Linked DNA regions of Drosophila melanogaster. The protein of the gene in region 1 interacts with the protein of each later gene in a pairwise test. Each region holds a gene or a part of one and is shown on either strand. Other genes may lie near its edges. The genes, in order: CG10654, vnd, rau and gcm2.

The links.
Region 2: the proteins of CG10654 (region 1) and vnd interact in a two-hybrid assay, tested with the Drosophila melanogaster proteins (one large-scale study listed by BioGRID).
Region 3: the proteins of CG10654 (region 1) and rau interact in a two-hybrid assay, tested with the Drosophila melanogaster proteins (one large-scale study listed by BioGRID).
Region 4: the proteins of CG10654 (region 1) and gcm2 interact in a two-hybrid assay, tested with the Drosophila melanogaster proteins (one large-scale study listed by BioGRID).

The regions. Positions count from the first base shown.
Region 1 is NT_037436.4:12,504,331-12,510,510, forward strand, and holds CG10654 (uncharacterized protein), read right to left. Parts: upstream 3,511-6,180; 5' UTR 3,381-3,510; coding exon 2,820-3,380; intron 2,158-2,819; coding exon 1,480-2,157; 3' UTR 1,044-1,479; downstream 1-1,043. Other genes in the region: vih (vihar), read left to right, coding at 216-322, 389-818; sti (sticky), read right to left, coding at 4,027-5,642, 5,699-5,894, 5,971-6,180.
Region 2 is NC_004354.4:589,044-598,172, reverse strand, and holds vnd (ventral nervous system defective), read right to left. Parts: upstream 7,132-9,129; 5' UTR 6,779-7,131; coding exon 6,222-6,778; intron 4,526-6,221; coding exon 3,867-4,525; intron 1,818-3,866; coding exon 862-1,817; 3' UTR 354-861; downstream 1-353. UniProt on the Drosophila melanogaster protein: Probable transcriptional regulator involved in the regulation of the proneural AS-C genes and the neurogenic genes of the enhancer of split complex. Could specifically activate proneural genes in the ventral-most neuroectoderm.
Region 3 is NT_033779.5:5,875,950-5,882,497, forward strand, and holds the start of rau (rau), read right to left. Parts: upstream 3,550-6,548; 5' UTR 3,039-3,549; intron 1-3,038.
Region 4 is NT_033779.5:9,606,086-9,614,154, reverse strand, and holds gcm2 (gcm2), read right to left. Parts: upstream 5,594-8,069; 5' UTR 5,258-5,593; coding exon 5,247-5,257; intron 3,554-5,246; coding exon 2,809-3,553; intron 2,744-2,808; coding exon 2,653-2,743; intron 2,594-2,652; coding exon 1,620-2,593; 3' UTR 1,449-1,619; downstream 1-1,448. Other genes in the region: Trx2 (thioredoxin 2), read right to left, coding at 615-638. UniProt on the Drosophila melanogaster protein: Transcription factor with a minor role promoting glial cell differentiation and a more significant role in hematocyte differentiation.

The DNA.
Region 1 (6,180 bases):
TTGTTTTCACACAAAAGTGAAAAAAAAAATATCTGAAAAAGCAACAGACGCGTATTCCGACCGATCAAACTAAATTTCCACTATACAGTACATATAATCACAATTGAGAATCGAAAACCCGACCGCCACGAAGCGCGCTAAATTACACGCACATACTGAAAGCCAAACAGCGGATAGCACTAGCATCCTACATATATAGACGTAGATATATAGTCATGGCGCAGAATATCAGCCCCGAGCAAAGTGGTGGAGCAGGCGGCGGCGGCAGCAAGCACAGCGATGACTCCATGCCCGTGAAAGACAATCACGCCGTGAGCAAAAGGTGAGTAGCACATGGTGCAGCCTAGATAATCCGCCAATATACACACACACTCACACTCACCCACAGACTGCACAAGGAACTGATGAACCTGATGATGGCCAACGAGAGGGGCATCTCAGCGTTTCCGGACGGCGAGAACATCTTCAAGTGGGTGGGCACCATAGCGGGTCCACGGAACACGGTGTATTCGGGGCAAACGTATCGTTTGTCACTGGATTTTCCCAATTCCTATCCGTATGCAGCACCCGTGGTGAAGTTCCTGACGTCCTGCTTCCATCCCAATGTTGATCTGCAGGGCGCCATCTGTTTGGACATACTGAAGGACAAATGGTCGGCCCTGTACGATGTGCGCACCATTCTGCTGTCCATACAATCCCTGCTGGGCGAACCGAACAACGAGAGTCCACTGAATGCGCAGGCCGCGATGATGTGGAATGACCAAAAGGAGTACAAAAAATATCTAGACGCCTTCTACGAGAAGCACAAGGACACCTAGAGTTTGGCAATTCGTTGTCATATATCCTATGCTCATATTGCGGCGTATTTATTTACATATAGTGCAAGCAACTCCACTCATCCGAAGACCTACTGCCAACCAACAAACCAATCATCAATCACCACCGTAACACAGTACCATCAGTTAAGTGGATCACCAGATCAATTTCAACAACGTTCAATGCTGATAGTTCATTTGGCAAAAGACCCCGTGCGTTTCTTATGTAATTGTCGATCGATTGACGGATAATCTGGTTTTTATTCTCATTTCTTTCCTCCTCCCTACAAATTAATGATAAATGAATGTATTGGTAATGTAATTTTAAAACTGTCATCCGTTCTTTAAGCTTAAGGATAAATTTTAGTTAATTGTTTTATATACGCATGATTACTTTTTTGAGAACTACTGCGAGTGCGCGCCATCGCCATCGCCATTTTTTTGTACTGATGATTTTTAAGCGACTATGCTGCTGCGCCGGCCATTATGTGAATGTTAGCTAATTTTAGGGCAGCCTCATCGATTCGTCAACCATTCGCGTCGTCTTAGTATCTCCAATTATGCGGCATTCTCCCACAATACTGGCATAACAAAATTCCAAGTAATTCGAATCATTGTAACAGTTGTGTTAGCTTGATGTTATTGAAACCACAAATAAAACGAATTATTGAACTACATCCATCGCTTTGTGTTTCCTCCCGTGAGCGTTGAGCTCCACGCTGTTCTGGAAAATGCGTCCGCATTTTCTGCATCTGAGCAGCAGATTCTTATTGCCGTGCTTGCGCAGCAGATGATCCACCATGTTCTCCTTGGTGTAGAATCTGCGATCGCAGCATTCGCAGCAGTATCTCCGACCCTCAACGCTACCATGGACCATCTTGTGGCGCGTTAGATGTGCCTTTCGCGCAAAGCACTTGCCACACTCCTCACAAATGTGCCGCGCATCCGGGGACTCTGACTCGTGATACCTTTCGTGCGTCCTTCTCATGTGATATTTGAGACTTCGGTTCGCTGTGTACACCTTGTTGCAGCTCGGACAGGCATAGATGATCCGCGCAGCGTCGGCATTGTTATGCATCTGCCGCAGGTGCGACTCCAGCAGATTGGCCCGGGCATAGCTCTTGGCACAATGGACGCAGGTATACGGTCTCAGACCCTCATGCTGCTGCATATGGGCCTCCAGCAGCGACGGTTTGTAGAAGCCACGGTGGCAAATTCGGCACTCGAGGGTGTGTCGCACTCCTCGTCGTTTTCTGGCACCCAGCAACTTGCTAGAAATGGATAGCTTCTCCTGGCCCAGATCCTGTTTGGCTGACTCGTCCTCTATTACGTAGACTTCCTCCTGGAAAATTTAGGGTATTATATATTTAATTACCATAGCAAACTGAATGGTGGTGGTTTTTTTTTTTTTTTGTGGGAATTCTGTACATATCTATTATGAAGGAATTTTTTATGTAAAAAGGGTCTAAGCATATAAAAACAAACTGCTTTTGGTTGAGTTAAGTAATTTGTAGTAAGGGTAGGAATTACATTATGTTTACTCATTACTTTAAAGTGGAAATTTTTCCTTAATTTGCTATTAAGATTATCTTATCGCTCGACTTAGAAGATGATAAAATGAAAGTAATATTTTGTGAACCGAACTTTTGGCGGTCACTTATCTGTTTAGTTTAGTTTTTTAATGCTAAAAATATTAAAGGCGCTATAAATAATATCTAAAATGAGTGAAAGTTAGGGAACACATTTATCTATTCTAGATAAAACTGGCCTTTAAAATCGACTTTCTTATTTGGAGGAGCCATAAATCGAGGCGTGTTGCCATCTTCCCAATTTTATTAGTGGAAAATTTAAAAATACCCAATAGATTGGGACGTGCCTCCTTTTCGAGTGCTATCACCCACCAAACAAAAATAGTACAACACAAACAAACGCTGTCGAAATGTTTTTGTTTATGGCGGGGAATGGGGAGCAGTATTGTCTTTGCTTGGCTGCTAGGCAACACACCTCGAGCGAAGCACCCAATGTGATTCTAGATAAGATTACGGCCAGAGGCAGGCACACTTGTGGCCAGATAAAACTCACAATCTCCTGCGTCGCTGCGATGCAGGGTGCGTGCGACTGGGCTTCCGGATTAGTGGACTCGTTGCTCTCCGAGGGGGTGTCCAAGTCGTGCCAAGTGTGGTCCTCCAGTTTGTGGCATCCGATGTCGATGTCCTGCAGCAGCTTCTCAAAATTGCGCAAGGACTCTGCGCACATGCGTTGAAAGTCGTGGAACTTTTGCACCAACTGATAGCAGCACTCGCAGATGCTTTTCAGCACCAACTGGGGTGGCAAATCCCTAACGGCATCCTCTCCAGTACAGCCGTAGTACTTGCTGGCCAGATCCTGTTCGCTGTCCAGATTGTGACACGCATCCTGCGGACCCAGTAGCACAAGACAAGCGCGGCATATCATCGTCTTGGCACCATCGCATCCATCCATGCCGGAGGTAGTGGTGGTGGTGGAATCGGCGACAATGCGACCCGCGCACAAACTCAGCTGGGAATCAAACATCGTTGCTGGCATCGTCGGGAGATTCAACGGGCCACTCAAATGGCGTGGAGCCAATTGAAATCAATTAACACAATCTGCGACGGCGGCAGTGCAGCAGTCCGGCGTCCAGCGGCCAAGCCAACGATGGCAGTAATGCCAGCGGAGAGCACGATTCCATTTCCGGGGCTTTCGAATTGCGGGACATTGAAAGCTGCTGCCGAAAAGCTGCGTGGGATCAGCCCCAAAAGCTTGGCGTCGACTCCATGCCCCCAACTATTCTATTCGAAAAGCTATCCTGCATAGTAAAATTGATTTAAAATATTATGCGACTTCTTTAATTAATTAAAAAATATTTCCTTTAATATGCTTCGATATTTTAGTGATCAAAATAAATATATTAATTTAATATGAATTACCTTTTTTATCAAAATCTCAAGTTTTATTTGTGTATACAGCACAAAGTATTTAAAGAGTAAATTAAGTAATTTTTAAAAGATTCTGCCATGTGATTTTAGGCAATCGTTACACATGAAAAAGATTGTGAAAAAACATATGTTCTGACAAGTTAAAATAATAATAATCCAAATGTATAGCATATCCTAACCCTAGATATAACTACAACTACTCAGTTTGTAGTATTTTGCTTTGTCCATTCGTTTAGTTAATATATATCCTTCATCTATATGCTATTTCCGGTGACAGTCGAGCCCAAAGTCACAGAAGTGGCCACTGAAGACAGCGTTTCCATGGAGATATTGAACTTCTGCTTGAATGCCTGCATCGTGTCCAGATGGTAGATCTTCTGTGTTCCATTGCAGGGCCTCTGATCGATGGCCACGGCATAGAGATTGACATCTCCGCTGTTGGCCAGCAGCGTGGACATGTAGTGGGGCAAGTAGACGCGCTGCAGTTCCGGGGATTCCGAATTCTCCGATGCGTTATCCCCGCTGGCCATTTCCTTGCTGAACGACCGATGCAAACGGACTATCTGCACGCTTTGATAGTGCGATATGAATAGGAATGGATCGCGGTAAACAAATCCAGTGGGTGCATAGACCCAGTTCAAATCGTACGGCCTGGATCTGCAGCCAAACTCGTCCACAAAGACGCCATATTCGGCAAAGCAGAGCAGATACTCTTGTCGTGAGATGCGCACCGCAGTTAGGGGCTGGCACTTGGCAGTGCTCTCCATTGACTTATCGGACAGATCCACAAACTCCTCAGCCGCATAGTTGTCCAAATCGATCTCGTAGAACTTATCCGAGCTAACAATGGCCGAGTGACGCGTAAAGAATATGGATGTGACCGGCGTGGCCGTGTCCAAGGCTCGAACTGGCTTAAACATGTGCAGCTTAAGGTCGTACTTCAAGATGACAATCCTAGTGGACGTGGCCGCAATAGCCACCGAATCCAATGCGTTCTCCGCCTCATCGGAGATCAGCACTAGTTTCCATTTCTCCGATGGCGTGCGATTGGCAAATGGCAGCTCAATGGCCGACGTTTCCAGCACAGGCTTGTGACACGAACTGGAGCTCTGACAGCGTGACTCCAGCTGGCGGTAGTCACATTGATATAGCTTCTCGCCAACTGTGCCCACCATTATAGCCTTAGCCAGGCGCTTGCAAATGGACATGCAGCTCACCGATTCGAGACCAGAAATGTGCACCAATCGCTGCGAGTCCAAGTGATACGCATACAGTCCCGTGTTACAGCCCAATAGGAGTATTTGCTGCTCGGCCACTTCAAAGGCGCAGTTCACTTCGATCTCCTTCCGTGCCTGATCTTCTGCACCATCCGAACTGTAGACCAGCGATCCAATGTACTCGCCACCGCTGGTTGTACCACCCGCAACATCTACGCTATCCAAAGTCAAGCTGGAGACAGATTGAATACTGCTAAGATCATCGGCTGACGGTGCAGTCGGCTTGGTGGATCCGCAATGGCTCTGAACATTGGAGCGACACTTGCGATGCGTAACATCTTTGCACTCCTTGCATTTCCAGAACGGCGAACCGGCAACGACGGCCTTTTCGCAAACTACACAGTTGACGGCATCCACCTTGGACTCCTGCAGGGCCAGTTCGAAACGGTGATGAGCCTGGTTCTCAATGGTTACTTTAGTCGGTTTCTCCGCCGTCGTCTTCAGCTCCACCTGGCTGGTGGTGCGCTTCAGGGGCTGCTGCTGCTTCTGTGGAGAACGTGGCAAGGCAGCAATGCTTACGGGTCTCTGTTTGGGTGCATCGGAGTCGCCATTAACAGCTGCAGATTTGCGTGGAGAGCGCAAGGTTGCAGTTCCTAAAGGAAATATACAATTAGATACAAACATCAAGCGAAATCTAAAGAAATCCCACCATTCAACTGAGCCAACTGCTCCTTCAGCAAGCTGTTCATCTTTTGTTCTCGCTTCAGTTCCTCCTTTAGAGCGCGATACAGAATGGAAGATTCCACGTCATTGGGTGACACGTTCTCCTTGTTTGTGTGGCTAGAACCGAAAAGTTTGTCCGCCAATGTCTTTTTCTTCTTGGCGGATAGGTCCTCAACTTTGAGCTAAAATATAAATACAAAAATGTTTTTAATCTCATTAACTATTCTCTTAAAAAGAATATATATAAACTAGCTATACCTGAAGGTAGTCAATCAGCTTTTTGTGCTGCGCAAGTGTGGCATTCGATTTAATGTCCCGCTGCACGTAGAACTGCTCCTTCTCGGCCAAAGTGTCCTGAAGGGAATCGATCTCTGCGTGCAAGTTGGCTTGCGCAGACTCCAAGCCCCTTATCTCCGCCTGAAGATTGCCAACCTCCTCCTTCTTGTGGAACAGCTCGCTGAGAATTCT
Region 2 (9,129 bases), on another chromosome or scaffold:
CAGTAAAATGAAATCGTTTTGCTTTAATGTATGTAATTGGTTTTTATTAAATCTCTGACATGTACTTTGCAGTTCGTAGTGTTGATTTGCTTTGTTGTGCAATTTGGATACATTTGCCGTCTCCGCAGCGTACTGTCTTTGTTGTTTGTTACAATTTATGAACTCATTACTTGCTATAAATTCAAAGATCGTTTACTCTCTATACACGCACACACGCACGAAAAAAATATGTGTTAGGACTAAGTGCCTATATTATATATGTATTCATAGAAAAAAAAGGCCAATAAGTTTTGTCTAAAAAATTTGAACACTTATTACGCTTGAATTGATTATATGGTATATAGTACAGATTTAGTTGCATATTTCCTATTATTTATTTCTCTTTTGAAATAATCTATTTTTCAGATTTACTTCATTTTTATATTATATTTACACATTTTATCTTTGGGATTGGACTTAGGGCTAAAAAAAAAAAATAAAAAAAATGAATCTACTTCTAAATTTTATGCGACTTAAATGCGCTTGACAAGAGACACTAGTATTATGCAAATTGATTTTTATTTAGAAGGAAATGTAGCTTTCTTTTGTCATGGGCATTGGTCTGATATCCAGGAATGGATAAATTTATGTCATTTAGGTATATATATGATTATATATATGAACTATGTACAGAAACGACTCAAGGATAAGTCCGGGAGACTGAGCGCTAGTAGGGGTTTGTATGTGTTTCAATTATTATTGTATATTCTTTTACTTGGCTTCACTGGGAATCTGGAGGCGTGGTCTTCTGGCTCATCGCTCCACGGGCCTGACTATCCACCTATCCGCCCCCAGTCCCGTGAATGCCAGTTCCTAGCAATATTAGGGCCACCAGGCGGCCCTCTGGGCGTGGGCGTGTGGATGGCCGTGTCCGTGGGCGTGGGCATGAGCATGGGCGTGGGCGTGAAGGCCGGCAGCCGCTGCAGCGGCATGTTGATAGGCGGCCGCTCCATTTAGGGCAACCAAGTGATGGGCGGCGGCATTCTGCATGGCGGTGGCGGTGGCTGATGACACGGAGACGCAGTCGGCTCCCAGTTTGGAACTATCGCCCAAGCAGGGCTTTCCGTTCCTCACCAGAACTGGAACGGCTACCCGACGGGGCGATGGCAGGGCACTGGGGTGATGCGGATGGGTGGCATGGCCGTGCAGTAGACCAGGATGACCCTCGTAGCCCTTCTCGTTTTGCGCCCGCTTCGTCTTGTAGCGATGGTTTTGAAACCAGATCTTCACCTGGGTCGGCGTCAGGCGGATCAAACTGGCCAGGTGCTCGCGTTCCGGGGCACTCAAGTAACGTTGTTGTCGAAACCGACGTTCCAGCTCATATGTTTGCGCCTTGGTGAACAGGACTCGTCGCTTCCGTTTCTTATTTGGCAGACCGTCGGATCCATTTGCATCCCCGCCGCCACTGCCGTCGGCGTCGTCCACGTCGTCGATATCCTCCTCGATGCCATCTTCGTTGAGGCTATCGTCGTGACCACTGCCTGCTCCGTTGATCCCCTCGGCCTTCAGGCTGTGGTTATTGTTGTTTGTCGTATTATTATTGTTGTTGTGTAGGGCATGGGCCGTCGGAGCGCCTCCGGCACTTCCATTACCAGAGGATCCATGGAGGGTGTGCAGGGCGTCGCCCACGGATAGTGCATCGCTATCGGCCGACCGGCTGTAGCTCTTGTAATCGCCGGAAAGGGCAGGCGATGTCTGGCAGTTGGAACCAATGTAGGTGTACGACACTTCCGAGGTAACTGGGGAGGTGCTATCCGGACTGGCGGGCTGCTGGGTACCTGAAATCAAAGAGGAAATCAAGGTTTTGGTTAATGTGCTAATTCTTCGTAGTAGATATATGGCTAAAACCGGGAGAAAACTCCCTTCTTAATATGCTGCTAATTGAGGAATAAATTGCTTGGGATAGCCATTTATTTATTTGCATTTTTCACAATGGTCCTACAGAATGGAAAGGCAATGGCAGGGTGCGAGCCCTGGGTGGGAATTTGTCAGCAATTGAGAAACCTCTTTAGCCGTAAATTAATGTAGCGACACACCCCTCCACATCGTCCAAGTGATCATGCAGAATTCGGGACAAAAGGGGGAAGTCAGTATCGCAACTACGGCAATTGGATTAGGCGCAACATGAAGCTGTGGTCGGAAACGATCCAAATGTCAAATGCCAGATGTATGCACTCCTTATGGTCCGCAGCGTCAAATCAACCCCTGCCCATCCCCTACGAGCTTCACCCTAACAACGCCAATTAGGCGGAGACAAACAGAGATCGCACACAAATACATACAAAAATACATGCCTAGGTGGGTATTCCCTTGTCGTCTACCTGAAACGATCGCTTCGATCTCTCGCTGAATGACTGCTGATCCTGGGCCTGTACTAAAAACCAGCAACCAGGATACTAATGGGACAACGACACAAAAGCCAGACCTCAAACACATCAATGGTAGCCGGGTCTCTTCCGGTTCGCCCCCTTTCGCAAGAGTTCCGAACTTCCAACAGATAGTGATTTAGTGATTTATCGCCGGGTGTGGCTATTTCTGATATTCTGGGGCGGGATCTGCGGTTGCAGAGGTATTAGAAGTGGGCTTATGCCAGTATTCAGGCAACTTCAAACGAGGCATGTAACTATAGAAAATCAAAAAGAAGCCCTTTAGTTCTTCCTAGCTTTCGAACTTTTGGATATAGTGCTGCGAAGGCAGCATTCCAAAGAATCGGAACGCGTCCTATCTGCATTTCTATTCCTATTGCAATGTATTTCATAAAATGTCTTCTAATGTGTGTATTCACCTGCCCGGGGTGATGTCCCCGTGGGACATTGATAAAACAACAAATGCAAGGGTCGTAGGAGCTCCTAATGCTCGCCTATCAGCTCCCACCGAGCTAGCCGCATTTGCCCTGCCACGGAAGCCATGCGCTCACCATGACAACTCAACAAATTAATAACTTAATATAATCAAAATGACTCTTCCTCGACTCCTTCACAGCTGTGGAAACTCCCAAAAAAAGAGCAGAAAAGAGAAAATAAAAAAACGGCAAGTGGGCAGCAGCTATAATTTGTAGCTAAACAATAAAGGAATAATAACAGAAGTGGGAAGGGATGAGGCGGAAGTGCGTGCCATAAATTTCCAGGATGAGAAATGTTTGGGCCGCAACAACAAGAAGCGATCGAGCGGGCAGCGATTGAATGTCCTGGCCGAAGGACACGAAGGACGTCAACTGCCAGAAAAACAACAGGGCTAATCCTCAAGTGTGAAGCGCATACAAACTATTAGTCATGATTAAAGGGGAAGCCCAACCCCTGCTCCTTGATTCCCAGTTATATACCCATTTCGATCCGCAGTTAACTGCCAACGAAAATAAAACACAACAGGGCCAGAATTAAACAAAGCTTGTCACACCCTGGAAGCACGTGAATCCGTCGAGTCCACAGGGTATGCAAATACAGCTGCCTCATCGCTCGACTGCTTCAACTCTCTGGCTCTCGGGAGCAGTGAGTGGTTAGTTACGGAACAGTATCATTAGTCGGCCAGTTAATCGGGGGTTAAATGCAGTCGAAAATTGTAAATTTCTTAAAGGGAGCTTCCTGCGGACTTCATTGATGAGTCTATTTTGAAACCAAGTTAATTCGTTGCTCTTTTGCCTACCCACGATTCAAAAGGATATTTGTTTGGGATCCAAAGACTTGCTTACAACCTGCCATTTAAGTGTTGCTTCTTCAAAAAGCCAACTCTAACTTGGTTATTGATATGGCCAGGAGCTATCTCCTGGAAATGGAGCAAATGAAAATGGATACATGCGTATCCATTTATGAGTTGAAACATTCGCTCACCGTATAGCTCGTTCTCCTTGATCCACGCACTCCTGCCCGAGTGCTGCAGCATGGTTTGGGCCATGTGGTGGTACGAGGACATCTCGTCGCCAAAGCTCCCCGGGAAGTTCTTGGGCAGGTTGGGCAGATATTGGCCGGCGGCCACAGCAGCCGCAGCCGCTGCATTGTGGCTGGCCAGCAGATGGGCGGCGGCTGCATTGGCATGGGCGTGGCTTTGGGCTTCGCCGCTCTGATGGTGCGCCAAAGGGAGTGGGGCCACCGCCTGCTGATGGTGCTGCTGCGGGAGGAGGAGGTGAGGGTGGTGGTGCTGCTGGTGGTGCGGGTGCTGTTGCTGCGGATGGCTAGGAGGGGCGTGATGCTCGGTGGTGCTGTGGTGATCCGCTTCTCCCGCTCCTCCCCCAGTCCCGCTGCCATTGTGGTGCTCGTCCGCGGAAACGCCCGCTGGCGTGGGCGACAGCGCCGAAGGCGAGGTGTGAGATCCCTGGCCGCGATGTCCACTGGTGGACTCACTGGCCGAGTGGTGACTCAAATCGCTGCCATGGTGGGCGGCAGCAGCGGCGGCAGCTGCTGCATTCTTCAGCTCAGAGCCCTCCAAATTCAAGATGTCCGATATATGGAAGCCAGAGCGTTGGGACGACGGCACCTTTGCATCGAATAAGCTGCAAGGAGATCAATATGTTAATTCTAACTGAACTTCAACACTAAAAATTTGAGTTAAATGTTTATTTCTCATTTCAATTGAGCACTCGCCTACAGTTTTAAAGAAAAAAAGGCAAAAAGCATACCAAAGATGAGTTGTAATAGTTTTTCTTGAGATTCTGTGTAGTTTCTTAATTGTCCCGGCAAATTGTCATATAATCGAGTGATTAATGACTCCCCGAGTATAAAGATGGCTCCTTAGAGGACGTGGAACGATTTTTCCCTGTTTCATGCTTATTGCAGCGACATCCTGTGTCAATCGTGTGAATGGCCGGAAGGTTTAACAAAAGGAGGTCCCTGTTGGTCGGGATATGCAAAGGAAACTACCTGCACTACCTGTAGCGCTCTGACTTTCACAGATTTTTGCACTTGCCGTTGTTAAGAAGATAAGGAGGTGGGGGGTGTGCATCCTGCAGGCATGCTTCGGAACCGAAAACGCGCACATTTCCCCCGGAATTAACTTTGAATAAGTGCACCCAAATCGCTGGATTATTGACACCTAGTCCCGGTCAGACCCCGAGTTTTGATTTGCCTAATACCATCAACAATTAAACGCAAATCCGCCTCGTAAGGATCGCAGCTACCTGGTCGGGTCAGTGCAGGTCAGCACAGGTCAGCAGGGACTCTTTACGGGTCGAAACAGGTCGTGCCACATGTTGGCGCAAGTTTGCTTGCTTCCGGTTTTCCCATTTCGAGTTTTCCCGAAGACCCCGACTCGCGAATTTCCCACGCTATGGACAGGCTACACGGGCATTCCCCGTCCTCCTGAGCGGAAATCCCATTGCCAGACAGTGTGACGCCAGTATCTCGAAGGCATCTGAGTCCCATGTCTGTCGTACACATGTCATTCCCGATTGGGGTTTCCCTGGCTCTCACCTACGGGAATTTCTAAGCCAGGGTCGAACAACAAGCCAGAATTTCCCAACCGCCATTCGCCAGGACCTTGAGTACTTGCCAGATCAAAGAGGCGGGGAATTATACCCTGTGTCCTGTACTTGCGCGCTGTGCCCGCTTGGTTAATTTAAAGAGCTACCAGGATTAGCCGGACAAGTCCATCAGCTATATGGGATCTAAACACTAATATGGAGGCAGAGGCTCGCAGGGTGTGATTTTAAGTCGGAGCTTAGGCGAAGGCAATTGCAAAGTATGGCTGGTCTTGCGTATTCTGCAGATTCTGCTTTCAACGCCCAATCTTCCAAATTATTAGATTAGGAGAATTAATTAATGGTCTTGCGTATTCTGCAGATTCTGCTTTCAACGCCCAATCTTCCAAATTATTAGATTAGGAGAATTAATAGAAAGACATAGAAAATTAATCGGGAACCCAAAACCTTGAAAACCATATCTGTTTTTTACAAAGTGGTCAGCCATGAAAGGCAAACGTATTGTCGGTGGTCAGTAATTTTGTTTCAATCTGAGGCATGTCCTTATTATCCATATCTTGGCCAGATCCATGCCATCAAAGTGTTACCAATGCTTAAGCGTTTATAAATAGCCCACAAAACAGAGGTCATAATTAGAAGAACTAGAATGGACTTGTGTCAACGTATCACCAAAATATGCTTTTCGTAACCAAGACATATGAATCATAGGTTTGTGTTCACCACTCCAGAGGTATCAATGTTTTAATTATTCCATTGGAATCCTTGTGCTTACCCAGGCAAAGCGTTTCGCAGGGCCGCCGGATAAAAGGCGGCTGGTAGGAGGGCGTGGTTCCACGGCGGCAGCAGGATGGGCGACCAGGGCAGAAACGGGGCCGCTGCTGCGGCGGCCACAGCCGCCGACGATGGAAGCATAAGACTACTCATGCTGTGGAGCCCCGGAAATCCGCTGAAGGCGGCTGCACCCGTCGGAATGCGGAGCTGTTCGGGCGCCAATCCGGAACTGGAACTTGTGTTCGTGGGCACGGTGGTGCTGGCGGTGCTGAAGACTGCGGCGAATCTCTCGTGATCTCTGTCTCGCTCGTGCCGTTCCTGCCGCTCCTTGCGATCCTCCCGGTCCTCTCGATCCTCACGCTCCCTCTTCCGCTCCAGCGAGGGCGTTGAGGTGCGCAGCGGGCGCTTCGGCGTGGCTGGGGAGGACGGACTCACCGTGATAGCGCTTTGGGGCGATGCGGGCAAGCTGCCAGCGCTGCCCAGACCGCTGCTGTTGTCCCGCTCGCGATCTCGATCCCGCTTTGAGGGGGTCCTCTCCAAGGACGCCGACGTGGTCATATCGCTTTGCGATATCGGGGAACCACTGTTTGATTTACTACGCTGCGACGCGGGTGGCGGCGTGGGCGGACTTTTGCGTTTCTCCGCCACTTTGGAGCTTTTACGGTGTTCGGAGCACGGAAAAAAAATATGTTTATGTGTAGTTACTGGGTAGCACTGCGATGAATTAAGCGGGTATCCTGGTAGGGCAACTTAAATTCCAGACATAGTTCGATTTAGGCTTAAGTTTAAGTTTATCACCGGGAAAGTTCGATAGTTCAAGGGTCGCGAGTCGTTTCTCGATTTCTCAGTTGCACGGGTCCGCGGAGCAGCGCACTCTACACATTCCAAACTGAAGTGTCATCAACAACTAACGAGGCATCAAGAACTCAACACGAGTCCAAGTCGCTTCAGAACAGCCAATAACCAAAACCCAACAACCAACGGCAGAAAAGTACCAGGTCGTATGCTCGGGGTGTCTTTGGGTATCACTATGTATGTGGTGCATATCTGTATCTGCATCCCTCTGCCATTGGGTACATAACGCAGATACTCGGATAGTCGCACACACACACACACATACACAAACACACACACGCACACAGCCAGACTGGAGAGACTCTCGGCTTTGTTGGGCGCGCTAAGTGGCTTCTTATGTCCTTTTCAACAAGGATACGGCAACAATGTGAGTGGCCTATTCAACCACCGAGAGAACCAACCACCATTCGTCGCCAGAGCGAGACGTACGATGTGAACCGAGTCCTTATGCCGCACGTCATCCCGCTCTAACTCTTTCCTGTTGCTTTCTCTGCCGCTCTCAAGAGTGCCACTTGAGTGAGAGTGTGTGTGTGCTGCAGCCTCTGTGTATGTTTGCTTGTGTGTGCGCGAGAGTGAGTGTGGATGCGAGGCCATTGTAGCGCCTCACGAACCTCCTCAGGCACGTCGGATTGACGTTCCCAGATAGGGATTCTGGGATTGGGCCGTTCTCTTCCAGCAGTGCTCTGCACTTGATGTTGTCAGCATTCCCCGCGTCATTTAATTGTATTTATCATTATCAGCTCTCTGCAACTCTGGACTTCCGGAGCGGGAACATCAGCCCCGACTTGTGGCGCCTATGCGGTGGGTCCAAGGAGAGGACAGGACAGGGCAAGACATGCGATTGTGACCGGCATTTAGCACGATAATATCAGATGGTGATATCAGCCATTATCCTATTGAGGAACGAGGGCGATAAGAAAAATTTTCTGGAATTACGCTCTCGCCTTTTCTATATGTAGTTGGCTATTTAAGAATCAGATCAATTCATCATTTAAAATCCCAGTCGGGTTGTAATACTTTGAGATTTTGAGTACCAACCATGATTAGATCTGGGGAGGATTGATCACATATTTGTGATTTTATATTAGTCAGCAACGAAATCTTATTTTGAACCACGAACTATTATTTTAATACTTAAAAGGCGCACTGCGAAAACCCTTTTAAAGGCATTCTCACATTACCATACCGGTGAAAGAACGTTATTTTTGCGAAGGCATTATTTTCTTCTGCCGTGTTAGTGGTATGCTATTATACTTGGACATTTAGTTTACTTCACGGTACGTTCTTTGGGAATTGCAATAAATTTCTTGCGTGCAACGGAACTGTTATAGACCACTTTGGCACTGACATAGGGGCCTTATGTACAAGGAGTGTCGCTGTTCGTGCAATTTGAATTTCGATTTCATACTCGTAAGCCAACTCGTGATTAGTGCAGATCCTTCAAACGCCAATACATGGCGCCGTTCCTTGAGAGGTGGCTTCGGGACACACCCCGGACACTCACAGATAGGGAGAGTGCGAGCGAGGAGGTCGAAAGTAAAGTATGGGAATATACATAATCAGCACGAGCAGTAAACGACAGGACAGACTGAACTGGGGGTATCCGCCCGAGGCAATTGAAAACATGGCAAGAGTCCGTTGGGGCTGGCCCCATTTACATATGGGCTGGGGGCTATATACATATATCAGAATATGCATATACATATATATATATATATATATATATATATATATATATATAAATATATGTTGTGTATATGAAGGAAGCTCCATGATCCCTATCCACGAGCATCCGCCCTCTAAAAGTGGGCACCCCACTGTCGCTCATGACTTCGCACCATTATTCTCCCCATGGGGGAATGGAGGTGGTAAGTGGAGGGGGTAGAATTTTATCTTGTAATAACCTCTGCCGACGACGACGTCGCCGTCAAGTGGGCGCGTCATGGCCGCCTGGCCAATGGGAAGAGCGTGCGAGCAGGAGAGTTATACCGTGCGCACCGTGCGCTGACGCGCATGTTTGGGAAATTTTGGTTACGCCAAAGGACTTTTCGGGG
Region 3 (6,548 bases), on another chromosome or scaffold:
GCGAACTGAAGTGGTAAGTTTGCTTTTCTTTTTAGGCGTGAGAATCGGTCGCCAATTCAGGTGGGCGGATTACAGAGGCACGTGTTGGTGGAAAGTCAGTGGCGAGAACGATTTCCCAGCCGATAAGATGGCCACTGTGAGATACATTTCGCAGCTAGATTTACGGCCTAATGAAAGTTTTACGAGGTTTTGCTCGGTTCATAGCGAAAGGTTACCCAGCTTTTGACCCTAATGGATCATCTGAACTGCTGGAAAAAGTGATAAAAGCGAGGTGAAGAAACTCAATTGGACAGAAGAAAGTTCCAGATGAACTTTTTCTGCTCGTAAAGCAAAGTATGGGGATCAGCGAAGACACCTGCGCTTATATAATGTAATAAAGGGATATTAATCTAGGACAATCTACTAAAATGTGAAAGGTATTTCCCAAGACAAGATGTTCCTATCATAAGAAGACTGATCATCAGTACAACTTAATCTCTAAGCTCTTTTCGCAGTAACCCATTTACAATGCAAATTTGCTTCTTATGACTAATACTACATAGTTTCGCTGAAAGCCAAATCAATACGGAATCACTTAACACACAAATTCCCCAATGCCTAATCGTTTCGAATTATACATTGTAGTGCTAGAGAAAACCAGATGCCATAAGGCGTTATAATTGTTTTACGCCACCATATCTCACAGGTTGCCGTGCGCAAACAAACAGTTAACAGGCTTTGTGTACCTTGGTTTTTTGTTAATTAATTGTTAACAAAACGAAGTGTCAACAAAAAAAAATATCAACCGAGAGCGGCTGAGAGAAAAACCACGAGTAAAAGCGCCAACTTCCAGTTTTTTGCTGACTTTGTGCCATCATTTATATTAAAGAAGTCGTATATTATTTTTTCATTTCGCTGCTGAACTTGTTTATTGAATTTACCATTTTGAAGCCGCTGACTCAGTACGATTTTCGCTGTAATTTAGCCGAGTTAGCGAGAAACGTTAAACGAGGCTGCAGTGCATAATATATAACCGAAAAAAACCCCCGATTCGGGCCAGCATTCATTTCAATTGAATTTTGAATATTTCGGAATGCTAAGCTCCAACATCAAATTGTGTTGCCAACGCTCGAATAAATTGTAAATCAATTTAAGAATCAACAAGAGAATGTACGACTTCGGGTGTGAAATAAAATAAAATAGCTTAGGAAAATTGCAGTAAAATAAATTGTTTTATTTTATAGCCGGAATAATTTAGAGTAGAACTTTTACATATATGTACGCAAAAATCCGGTTAGCGCACATTTATGTCGATTGACAAATGCTATTGTCTTTTTATTGCCAGTGCGGGTGTGTCTTTGGTTAGATGAAGAAACAATAGACTTGAATGTACATAACTGTATATGGAAGTCAAGCAACTTCCTCAAGCTATAAAGCCACGCATAAATTACCGAGGAAATTATACAAAATGGTTTGTTCAACCATTCACTGGAATGGAGCTCTTAAATACAAATATGATAGAAAATGGCTAAAAACTATAAAAGCGAATTGAGATGTTAGTGCCAAGATCTCCAGCGAAAGATAAACGATCCCTGATGCAGACCACCCTCGACTTCCTGCCATCGATTAATCAATAGAACTACTTCCTTTTAAAACGCCCCTCGCAAGTACTACGTGTGTGCAATGTGAAGACTAAATGAGGCGAATATCCTTTCATGGCTCACGTATCCAGCCCAATACAAGATACTTCTGTTAAGCACAGATTTGGTGGTACTACCTGTTCCGAAATCGAAGCAGAAGGCGCTAAACTGAAGGAAACCGCACTTGACAGTAGCACACGAGCAGGTAGGCCCAAAAAGGTAATCCCTCTCTCACGTAGTCTTCTGAAATTCAGGATGGGATCGCAGCACGTTGAGCCCTCTGGGGCGTATTGTACTCGTGCATTTCCTGATTTTTAATTAGCCAAATAGAACCTAACAAAGACAACAAGTTGGGCCAAACGGTCTGAGGCTACGTGCTTGGTATGTGAAATCTTTAGCCCCTCAGTGTCCACAGGAAAACAATGCTCCAGACCGAATACTCCTGTGTGCGAGAGGACAGGAAATTAATTCGATATCAATACTTTTCTGCGGTTGCGTTGAAAATTGCGAGAAAGTGATGGTAACCACCACCTCAGGCTAGCAATTTTATAATCAAAACCAACCGCTTTTGGACATCGGGATTTTCCCCACTCGTAATCATGGTTACACCGCCGTCTGGTGGACAATGCTAACTTATTATTGCAACTCCTCATTAGATGATATTATGTGGAATTGACATTAAGGAGTTTGACAATAAGCACAGCAAAGACAAATGAAATGATACACATGTGTATCCGATTGGGGGGCATTGTTAATCGAAAATCCCCAATGAGCATTGTTACCGAACTGAGTGATATCATTCATCTGAGCTTGAAACAACAGAGACGGATTTTCTCACAGAAATCTACAAGATATGCATCAAATCAAATGTTTGGTCGAGACCCAAAGTTTGTGTCATTCATAATCGGCCAACAAAGCAACTCGACTAATTAAGAGAGTCACTCGACCAAGAAATTTACATGAAATGTTTATGCATTTCCAAAATAGCTGGGAAGGTCTTATGTCCGCCTGTGTGGCCCTCTAATGGAAGTTTGAAATATTTGCATAAAAATTCAAAAAAATGCTGAGCAAATTGTCGAGTTGCAGATCCACGGATGTACACTTGTCGGAGGCCAAGAACCGGACAATGATGCTCAGCAATTCCGTATTTGCATTGTAATCCCCCTAGATGACCTCGGGAATGGAGGAAGTGACTGGCCAACAGCTTGGTTACCGTTGCGGGTTCAATCAACTCCTCTGGCCAGCGAAACTGTCTGGATCTAATCGCGCAATTCGATAATTGAGTGCAGGAGAGTGGGCTGTGAAAATTCTGGACTTTCGCCAAGGCGAGAAGAAACCCAATCGACCGAACTAGATCTCGTCTAGCAATCAAACTTTCTAGATGAAGAGCGAAAACTGGACCAGCGATCGGGCGCTTACCTTCTAGCGTATGATTTGTAGTATCCAAATGTGATTTGTGTGTAATCCCAAGACCTTAAGGCCCGAGACTTTGATGGATGGCGGTATAAGAAGTCCGGAGTGCGAAGACAAGACAAGGTCGCGTCGTTTTTCTTCGGCTGCCGCTTTTAGGGCCCTTTGGCTGCTTGGCATTAAGTTATCAAGCACTCTACGCCACTTCGCATTTCTTCGCGTATCCAAAGGTGCGTATGCGTACGTGCTCCCTGCTGGGGAAACAGGTGCACTCAGGAAGCAGCTGCACTGATTTTTATTTTAGCGTTGCACTTTGAGTTTCTATCCGAATTTGTTCACTTTTTGTACATATGTATATTCCTTTGGCTTTCGTACCAATTTTATTTTAGATCTGGACGCACATTCACTTTCGTTCGAATAGGCTCGCTACCGTTAGCCAGTTCACTAAGAATTGGAAATTTTCGAGCGGAGCTAATGTAGATTGAGTACCGCACTCGGCAGTGTTTACAGACGCACTGAAGCCGCACGGCTAGCGTCTGCGAGGTCTAACCCGCTGAGAGGAGTCGCATTCAGATACCTGTTTTGTATGTGTGTGTGAGCTGGCTCTCGCGCTCTCGCCTCTCTGCACTCAGAAAAAAACTATAGCTAGCTTGATCAGCGGAAAGCAACGCAGATACTTGCAGTTAGCAAGTTATTTAATAATTTGATAACTAATATTTAATTTTTTTAAGCTGACTATAAAATTCTCTCTCTTCTTATCTTCTACAGGGGACTTTAATTCAACTTGAAATGAGCCAAGCTGATCTGATACCATGTGAATAGTATGAATGTTAGGTGAATGGATTTTGGGAAAACGCAAATCGTTCATAATGGAGCCACTGGGGGTGTGGGTTGGCGCTTCGTGGGCGAGTGAGCGGGCGAACTAGTTCTGTCTGCGGCTCGCTCTTTTCGGAGAGAGGAAAACTGGTTTCCAATCAGACTTAGACTTTGCCGGCATGTGGGTTTCCTCATGGAAATCTGGGGATGGGGATTCGCGGTCGAGCGACGCCGGATGGGCTTGGGCAGAGCTACATAAATGACCAAAGTTGAAGGGCGAGGCACGGCTAGAGTTTACGGACTTGTAATAAATCAGGGAGTTTTCAAAGCAGAAGACTTTAGCTAGTAATCGTATGTATATATGTGTTCACGCTAGAACGGCATTAGTAGTTTATTTAGTTACTAAACAACAAGAAAATTCAAAAACTGTACTACCTTAACAGTTTCCACAACAATCAATATGAAGCTGATGCATTTTTAATAGGTAGACCTTAAGACTCCTTCTATAGTATTCGATTAACAGGATCGATTTTGTAACTTTAAGTCTGGCGAAACTAAATCCAGGAAATAAGCCCTGAACTTTGGCAGTATGTAAACTGAAAAGGTGAAAGAAAGTTCAACATTCAGGCGAGATATTCCATTCCGGCAAGTCGTAGATTGCTTCGGTTTGATGTTTTTTAGACCCCACAGAAACAACAAAGAAAAGCAAAAGTTTAAAAATTAATTATGACAAAGTCAAAAAGTCCAAAAATTATTAATGAAAGTGAAATTATCATCAGCGAAGCGAAAAACAAAAATAAATAACAGATTTTTTGTTGCTCGATAATTTGCGAATGAAAAGGAAGGAAAAAACCAACCAACTGATGCGCCAGTAAAATTCATTAGACTTTGATAGATGAACTTGATGAGTCGATGTCGCTGATGGACGACGGACTCGCAGAGTTGTGAAAATCTGAGCGAAAAATGCGGAACCAATTTTATTTGTTTGCTTTTTGAGAGTAATTTAATTAGTTGGAGCACGGCAAGTTATGTTTGCATGTGACCCGGGGCGGTCAATTAAGAATTCATGAATCAGGCCCTAATTAGAGGTCGCCGTTTAACAAATTGATACTGGTTTTGTATTCACATTGAAGCCGAAAGATCTGTTCGAAGGTGTTAATAAAGCCCAGTCAAATTGCTTGGCTCCTTAGAACATTCTCCGTTCTGACTGAAGGGTATCAAAGTTTGTCCTCGGGGCACAAAAAGTTACATCTTGTAGCTAAGTGGCATTCCTCTGACCAACGGTTAAATATTTGTGCAGCACTGTGCGGACATGAAAATGGTATCATAGCACGCTTTTCACACAGCCGTGTGAAAAGTACACACCAGCCCAGTTTGAGGGAGGGCAGCTCAGACTCGGATGCAGGTCCCCTGCTCTCCTCCAGTCCACCAGACTCCAGATGAAGATGAAGTCGCAGCGAAGGTATGCTCCAGTTACAGAAGTAACAGTGTTTGTTCAGCTCAAATACAGTAGAGCCTACGAAACTGTTCATGACGGCCCATCGAAAAAGCTTAAAGTAAAATATTTGATGCCCTTGCCGTCGAACTTGTAATTATATGCCACGGAATTGAAAACAAAAGCATATCATATTTAATATGAAACAATGTTTTGCAACAATCTTCCAAACACAAACAGAAATCTTTCGAGTTCTGCCCTGGTAATTCGGCCTGTACGCGCATGGAGTTGCAATTGCGGACTCAGCGCGGCCGGCTGCAAGTTAATGGCTAATGGTCAGCAGCTGCCGCAGCCAAAACAGACGTGCTCCAATTGTAAACAAAAATGTTGGAGCTCGGATCGCCCAAACACACTCGCCTCGAGCTGCACTTGTGTTGGTTTGTATCCGTATCTGTATCTGCATCTGCAACTGTATCTGCATCTGCATCAGCATCTGCTCCGGATGGCAGCGAAGTCTGTCAAGTGGGTTGCGATTCCGACTTCCCCCTCGGTGCAAAAAGCACCGACTGACTTTTTGCGTGCTGAGCACATTTCCTATAAATAGTAGCTGTAAACCATAAATAAAAAACGAAAAGAGGCAGAGAAGCGCAAGGCGAGGGCTACTCTATTCATGCCATCTATCAAGTTGCAGGCACCCGAGATGAAGTTTGCGCTCAAATGATTTGTTTAGACGGCCTGCCACTAAGTGGTGGTAGCCTGTTAAGGCCGCTTTGGTTGTACCGAAATGATTGCACAGCGAATTAGTTGGCATCGGAGTAAAGAGCTATCCGTTTAAGGCCTAAACATCACTTACCCCAAACGAGATCGTCTCAATTGGTGGATATAAATCAAGTTCGGTTAGCAAAGCAGCTGATATTGGCTGGCCGTTGGCTTCAGTATCCATGTCATAAACAAGGACTTCCGATTGCGGCGTCTGCTCAAGTGGCAAGTGCCACGAGCGGCTTAGCGGAGGTCCTCATTAAAGCCGAAACCGAATAAAACACCAAACTTTCAGCAGCTGAGGGGCGACAGCTTGCAGACCCAAACAGGTGGCATCGGCAGTTGGGTCAGAGACAAGTCCTGGAGTGCGGGTCGAGGGACGGAAGGGCGGGAGGACTTCCGCCGATGTCCTGGCCATTTCGTAGCCAGGTGGCCTCGCCTTCGCCAGGTCAAGCGAAAAGGCGTCAAGGATATCAAGGATTCATAACTCATTTACCGACCTCTTGATG
Region 4 (8,069 bases), on another chromosome or scaffold:
GAACCGGTTCTTCACCCCGCGCACTCGCGTCTTTTGTTTTCTTGGCTTTGGATCAACTTGCATGGCGCGCAACTTATGTGTGGAGAGCACACCCTGTGCTATAGCAACTATTCGAAATATTTCTAACCAAAAAACCAGGCCTCGACCACGATAATGAATTGCAAATTCATGCCAGTCGCACACACATCCGTACATATGTGGTTTCTATAGTACGTATATCTTGTTCGCACTATTTCCGATTAGCTCGGTCCGGAATATTTCAATTTCAAAATTCGGTTTCCGTTGAGACCCGTTTTGCGGTCCACGGGATGATATCATTATCATTTCGCTGTGCTGCTATTCGGAACTTTCTCGTTTGCTCTCCGCTTTCTCGCTCGTCTAGACCGAACGTGAGTTCCTTCTATTCGCGGGAGAGCGTATGGCAAAAAGCGTAGCGAATCCAATCATTCAAAGTAAGTGGCTAATTGGAATGCCGCTTCCAATGCCATATTTTCAAAGTCCGGAGCGAAAAAATAAACGTGTAACTGGAACTGAGGGGTCAAAGGGTAGCGCTATCGAGTTACCCAATAGATGACGGATGTGATGCGTCCATAGATCCGGTTGAAGTGACTCACCTTATCTTTCACCTGGTACACCATGTTGGATGGGAGATGTGGAGACGGAACCGGTAGAAATGTACAAAAGTTACTTAATTACCACTCGGGCAGCTCTTTGCAGCACAGCTAAATTTTTTACCAAAATGAGCACGTCGCAGTTGCTTTTATAGATTTTTTACTCACGCTCACGCTTCTCATTGCTATACGCTCTCTTTTTGCATATGTGTATGTCGCGTTTGGTGAAGGTGAATTTCGAATGGATAGACCGATTGGCACATCTATGCGATAGGTTTTGCTGGCCACTATGCGATTACTTTAAATGTGAAATCCTCTTGCTGAAGATAGCGATTATAACTTGTAGTACTATTCTCTTTAGTCTGGTTATGTCTGTGTGTCTGTGTCTGTGTGTCATTGTGAGTTTATCGTAAAGCAACTCTGCAGTAGTTCAGTTTCTTACCGGTAGGAGGCTTTTTAAAAAAAAACTGCAAGCCATGTAAGCGGTACAAAATTTGGGTCTTGGCAGCCAATTTGTTTTTCTTTAAATGTTTCCGCCAATTATAAAACATCATTCGTATTAAAGTATATCTTACTATCTATCGATTTTAAACTACAAATCATTAAATGCGTCCTAAAATTACTACAGTTATGGTTAAGTGAGCACCTGCTTGTCTACATTACATGGTTTTTACCATTACATTTTACATGGTTCTTACCAACAATTTTTTTACAGCGCGACATCTATCTCTGATTTCAAGAACCGCACCATCATGACCGCTGAAAATTAGCTATGTTTGAATTGGTCGCGCAATAAGAAATTATATTTACGCACTTAAATTAAATACATTTACTTTTACAAATCAACACTTTTCATAATTTATTTGCCGAGAAAAACAATTGGTAAACCGTTTAACACTACACGTACAGATGGAAATTAAGATTTCACCACTATTTTAAACACTATGTTACTATGCTTAGCTATCGACTATGAGTAATCCTCCGGTGTCCGGATTGGTTAAGTACTATTCAATGGGTGACCGATGGGGCTAGGCCTGTAGCTGCTGCTGGGTGGTGCAAGTGGTGGTGATGGTGATGGTGGTACGTCAGCGTGGGCGGTGGTGGTGGAGGCGGTGGATGGCCAGGGGGCGCGGCCACTGTCGGCGCAGTGGATCCTCCGGCAGTGGCAAATCCACCTGCTACCGCCATTTGTTGCTCGTAGCTGGTGTAGTGATCGTAGTAGCCGCCGTATCCGACTTCCAGGCCATTTCCGGTTGCAGTATTTCCTGGTGCCGTAGTAGTTCCTGTGTCGAAATAGCTGACTCCATTATAGCCACTACTGCTCTCGTAGTAGTGATGTCCCGCTGTCTGATTTCCACCGAACTGTTGGTGGCTCTGCTGCTGCTGGTGGTGGTGCTGTTGCATTTCGTACTCCGCCTTGGGGCTATAGTAGTAATCGTAGTTGTCCTCCACATACGGCTGCGTCTCCACGGTGGCATTGTACTTAATGGTGGGTCCCGGTTCGGCCTTGCAGCTGATCTCCTCCTGACCACCGCCACCACCCAAATGCTTGATCTGCGAGTAGTTGATGAACTCCGGTTCCGGAGTGGCCAGTTGCGGGCTGGAATCATAGGCTACTGCCTGGCATTGTGTGTGTCCGTGCACGGGAACACCCATCGCAAAGCTGTTCCCGCTGGAGGATTGCTGGTATGCGGCCAGTTCCGAAATGCTGCAGGCGTAGGGCAAACTGGGAGATTTACTAGGTGCCGCGGTGGCCGCCGCTGGAGTTGCATGGTAGATGGGATAGTTATAGGTGATGTGCTGGTGGTTGACCGTAAACACATTAGCTGCCGTCTCGCAGGGTGCCGATGACTCGGATCCACTTAGTGGCCAAGAATTGGTGCCGTAATTCGAGGATTGTGACAACTGATGGCTCCTCGCCGTGGTGCTGTCATCCAGGTAGCTGCAAGTGCAGTGGCTATAACCGGCGCACTTGCCACAGGCTAATGGGGGATACAAATTGTAAAAGAAATCTTTAAATATTCTTGTTTTATATACCTACCATTATACTGATATATATCCAATGCGGTGTGAGCCAGAGGATTGCTGACAGCAGGACGCTTAAGAACCTTGCTAATCAGACTGTGTTGTTGCTGTCGTCAGAGAAGAATGGTTAAGATGATACATCCCGGGTGAATGAATGTCTATCTAAGCTCACCTTCGCCTGCTTGACCAGACCCGCAATGACCGACTTCTTGGCGACTGATCCGTTGGCTGACTTTCCAGCCAGCGGCACACGTCCAAAGGCCCGCTTGGAAACACTGGAGTTCTTCGGATCCGGACGCAGGTGATCATGCACTCCCTTGGCCTGAAAAAAGATGGCATTGCCGGAGTGCCGCCAGAAGTGGGTCACCGGATAGCCGCAGTGACCGCGACACGGTTTAATCTCTAGTCTACCGCCACGACAACTTTTGTTGGGACACGCCTTGCCCTCCTGCTTCCGCCGGGCTTTGTCGCAAATGGCTGGGCGCAGGTTGATCTTGGATCCGTTGGGCAGGGTGCAGTGTTGGGAGCAGACCAGGACGCCCAGGCAGCTCTTCTTCAGAATGTTCACGTTGTGGTTGTTCGTGTTGCGCATGGCCCAGCCGGAAATGTGCTTCTTGGCCTCCTCGTTGTGCAGCGAATAGATGTGCCTCACATGCCCGTCGCTCCACTCGTTGAACTCGTCGAACTCCTGGTCCGGCACATGTGGCACAATGGCATCATTGATGTCCCACTCCCGTTTTCCCTTGCCCGTCGACGACGACGGCATGGTCATGGAGCCACCCGCCTGCTGTTGACCAGGACTTGGACCCGGATGCACCGAATGCGTACTCTGACTTTGGGGCTGGACAAACTGGGTAAGCTGAGAATGATCGGGTTGCTGTGTGAGAAGTTGCTGCGTCTTGAAGCTGTAGCCATTTCTGTAGAGGATTTTATATATAATAAGTTGCATTTTATATTCATAGTTAAGAATACTATATTATTATATTTGAATTTTGCCAAAGAGCACAAAACATACTTTAACTTGAGTTCAGATTTTTATATCACTTCTAGTAGCCACATAATAAAAAAACACCACTGCCCTTTTGGAATCTAAGTTAAGGCAAAACTGTGAGTCACAGCATTAACTTTTAAATCGAATTTATTTACATTAAAACTCTTTACATCGAGTAAAAACTTTAAGTGATCCATTTAACTGTGACTTTATCGCCAAAGCCTAAGCATCGTTTAAGGAATTGAAATCCTATCTTAATTGCGCCCTAAACTGTTTCGTAGGGGGCCATCCCAACCCAACACAAACCAATCAAATGAAACGTTTGCCAGGTTTATGGGCCTCATGAAACGCATGGTTATTTAGGCCCAGTTTAGAGGGCTGGTACCGTTAGCCCCAAATCTTGTGCACCAGGTAATCCAAGCTGGCCACAATCGTAATTCGAGCGCCAGTTGAGGAGGCGGAGATGCATATTAAACCGACACTCCGATCGTGAGTCAGCTGGGAATCGCTAGACTCGATGGAGGGCCTCAGCCGAGATTCTCCATGTGTGGGAGTTATTAGAGAGCGAGCTCTGCAATTAGCAATAAATTTGTCTTCCATCGATTTCGAAGCCGATGGATCGATTCGCCTCGGTCCCCTGAGTGTTTTTATGTGTACTTGGAAGTCAGCAGGTTGCACAGCATCTAGCACCAAGAACCACACACCAAATACCTGTGCTACGGTTCGCCTGGTGGTCTTTGGTTTCCCCCGATTGAACCTGTTCGTGGCTAGTGGCTCGCTTTGTTTTGGGTCCGTAAATTGACTGCTCGACACTTCGGGGCGCTCGTTAGTTGGGCTTATCTGATGCTGATAGCGTCTCACTTCGTTCGAGATCTGTATTTTTGGGCCTCCTCTGTCCAGGGCTCATAATAAGTTTGTCACCTAGAAAATATGTCTCTATAAATCGAAGGGGCCGGGGGGGCATCATCATCATCATCGGCTCTTTGACCCTTTCACTCGAGCGCCGCTCCGCCTACGACTGTGTGTGGTCCGCCGGTTTCCAAGATTCGAGATCCCCCTTCCGAAATCCAACATCCAAAATACGAGGCACACCCCGCGGCTCTTTGGAGCGGATTGGACTGGACCGGAGTGCCATTAACTAAGCTGTGGAACGCGCTCAGCGTGATAATAAAGCGTTTGAAATCATTTACATTTTCCCTGACCTCCCCCGCTGCCTCTTTATCGTTTGATTTGTGGCCCATTCTTCATCCGAGATTGATCTGAGGTGTTTGGAAGCTCAACACTTACGCAGATGGCTTGGGTTTAACGCGTGTCGGCACAGTTCAGATCAGCAATAATTTGAAACATTTGTACTGAGAGCTTTTTAATTCTTCGGTAGCTCTATGCCTTGAATAATGTGAGCAAATTAATTTTTAATCCATATTCCTTTGGGTTCCAAGCAGAATAATTTAGAAACTTAGTGAAACCTATTTTAAGCATATTTCAATAATTACCATTATATTTGATAAAAGGTTCGAGAACAAAGTATATGATTATTGTCCTATTAAAAGTATTTTTTGGCAATAAAATTTCGAATTTACATTTGAAAATCTCCGAAAAAGGGACTATTTAGAACTTACATAACAACCATATTCCAATTGAAGCAGCTTCTTTAATCCAGGTATTAGGTGGTATAATTAAAAATATCCAATAAAACCTCAACTGCTCCTAAATGAGTTTTCCGCGATTCGAAAGCCCTGCGAACAGGCAACACTTGAGCATTGTAATCCAATTAGGCGACACTTGTATCCACTGGGCACTTGTATCTCGCGGATAGCCGTCGCTAGTTGAAGCTCCTCGGAACGGATTGGATTGGATTGAACTGAATTGCGCACGCGACGCCGACGATGGGAAACAACCGTGAGAATGACGACCTTTTCGCTGAACCTCGAATACAACCTGCAGGGCGGGATGTGCGCGCGTATCTGGCAGATACGAAAAACAAAAGAGCAGCAGCGGCAGCAGCAGACAAAAACAAACTTCAGCGAGCGAGTAGTAGTGCCAAGTTTTGTCAACAAAGGAATGGTATTATGGCTCTGGCTCCACCTACAAAAACCAACAAAATATTCGAAAGTGGGCGGAGGAGCGGGAAAGCGGGGAAAGCGACGATACAGCGACGAGCCACCCGCATAATTTGCCAAAAAACTCCACGCAGCTGGCAGAGTGGTAAAACGTATCCGTCAGATACATTGCCTTCCAGGCAGTCTCAGTTGCTTCCAGTTCCAGTCGTCTCTTCTCGCCTCCGATTGGTCGGATAAACACGCACACATAGGCTTCCTCTCTTTCGAGAGAAGAGAAGAGAGAGATTTTGAAGTTCCGGCGATGGAGATGGAGGAATTTCTGTGGTGGGGGCTACATACTCGATAAGCATCACAGAAATTTAATTACTTATTATGCCCCTTATCAGTCCCCATTGTTCTGTTTAACTCTGTTTAAGGATATGCCAACAAAAAGCAGTGGAAACCTTTGGCAGAGCATAGATATTCAGGGGTTTATCGTTTGGAATATTCGCCAGATTAGGGGGATGATTAATGGACTGGGTAATGCCGATCTATGCCGCTTAACACGTATTGTAAATTGAACATTCCGATAACTGGCCATGATTGCTTTTTATTTTGAGTCACTTGTATGTATAAATATGTATTCTGTTTCATGGGTCGCCTTAGAAAGGAACGGCATTTGAATCATTAGACTGTTGTCTGTTCATATTAACTATGAAATAAATATAGTTTTGAATTTTCTTTAATTAGTAAACATTTACTAAAACATTCAAAAATTTTCTAATGATACCTAAGTATGTTCTTCCCCCCCAAACACAGCAACTTTCCTCTGGTTATTGGCCAAATAAATTATTTCTCCTAAAGCCACAACATGAGAATACACAAGTGGCAACAATATCAGGGCCAGATCAGCCAGAGGGTGAACTTTTTGGTGAGGCGGGGGCATTGCTGGGCCTAATGCTTGCTGCGTCTTTTGTTTTCACCTGATCAGCCCGCATCGCCATTTGGGCCAAAGTTACAGGGCACAAAAAATAAAATACAATTTATGCATCCACTTGGTAGCACACACTCACAATTAACAGACCAAGAAGAGCAATTTAACAGGGAGAGGCAAAGAAATGGAGGAGCAAATAGGCGTTAAAGTGAAAATTGAAAATGCCGTTGACAGGAAATGTAAATGGTAACAAAAGTGGCAGCGACCGACCAGTGGCAACTGTTGCTGCGCCCCTGCGCTCATCCACTGTGACCCGTAATTAAAAAGGGGCAGGAGGGAATTGGGCCCCTGCAACTATGGCCAGATATATACGGGATTGGGCCTGGAGACGCGTAACTACGCGGATGGCCTGGAAATGGCTGCTGCTGCTGCCGCTGCTGCTGTTGTCGCTTTAACGCTCCACAGCAAATGATACGGGTGACAAATACATTTACCATATATACGAACCAACCAGAAAGTGGTAGAAAATGCACAACTTCACAACTAGCTAAACAGTTTACCCCAGTATCTATCGCGATCCGGCTTATCGTTCGGTTTTCTGTCTTGCAGCTGCTTGGGGTTTTCGCAATTAATTGCTTAACATTATTTTATAAGCATGGATAGTTTAATGTAGGCACACACACACACACCCGCTGTGGTCCCACCTCGAAGTCATAGATCCAGAGTCACGCTGTGATCGGACCGATCTCTAATGAGCGCGTGCTCCGAGAGCGCCAAGCTCCAGCTGTTCCAAGAAGGGCCTGTCATTGGGGCATCTAAGCCATTGTGTTCCAAAATATTTCCATAATTTCATTTTTGGCGCATCAAATTAATCATCGATCTGTTAAAATAAATAAAAACTGGTGTAATGGGTTTTCAAGCTTTCGACCCAAAAATAATAATAATTAATTTGGTGTACTGCACCAAGAAAAATGCTTGAAGTTGTATATGTTTATATGTATATGTTTATGTTTTACCTATATTTTCTGAAATATGTTATATAGGTAACAGCTTCGGGAAAAGCTTTAGTGAGGCGCTATCCTAATTAAGAAAAATCTTCTACACATCCGTCGATATTGATGACCCCTATGGCGGACTGCACAGATACTTGATTGTTGACACATTCGACCAAATTGTTTCTTCGACTGTAGCCGAATCTCGGACCACAGTGAAGTGTGACTTTGTGGCACCCAGCAAAGACAAAGACCGAAGGCAATTTTTCCATTTACGCAATTAATTGGCCGTCACGCTGGGAGGTCCGCTAATAGACGAAGTCAGAGACCCAGAGCCTAGAGCAAAGCTCATCGGATTAATGTTTTGCCTATTGACTGATTGATATCCACTCACATCACCCACAAAACAACCAGCACAACAACAATAACGTGAACAAGAGGAATTGATTTTTAAAGTTTCTCGTAAATTTTGACAAA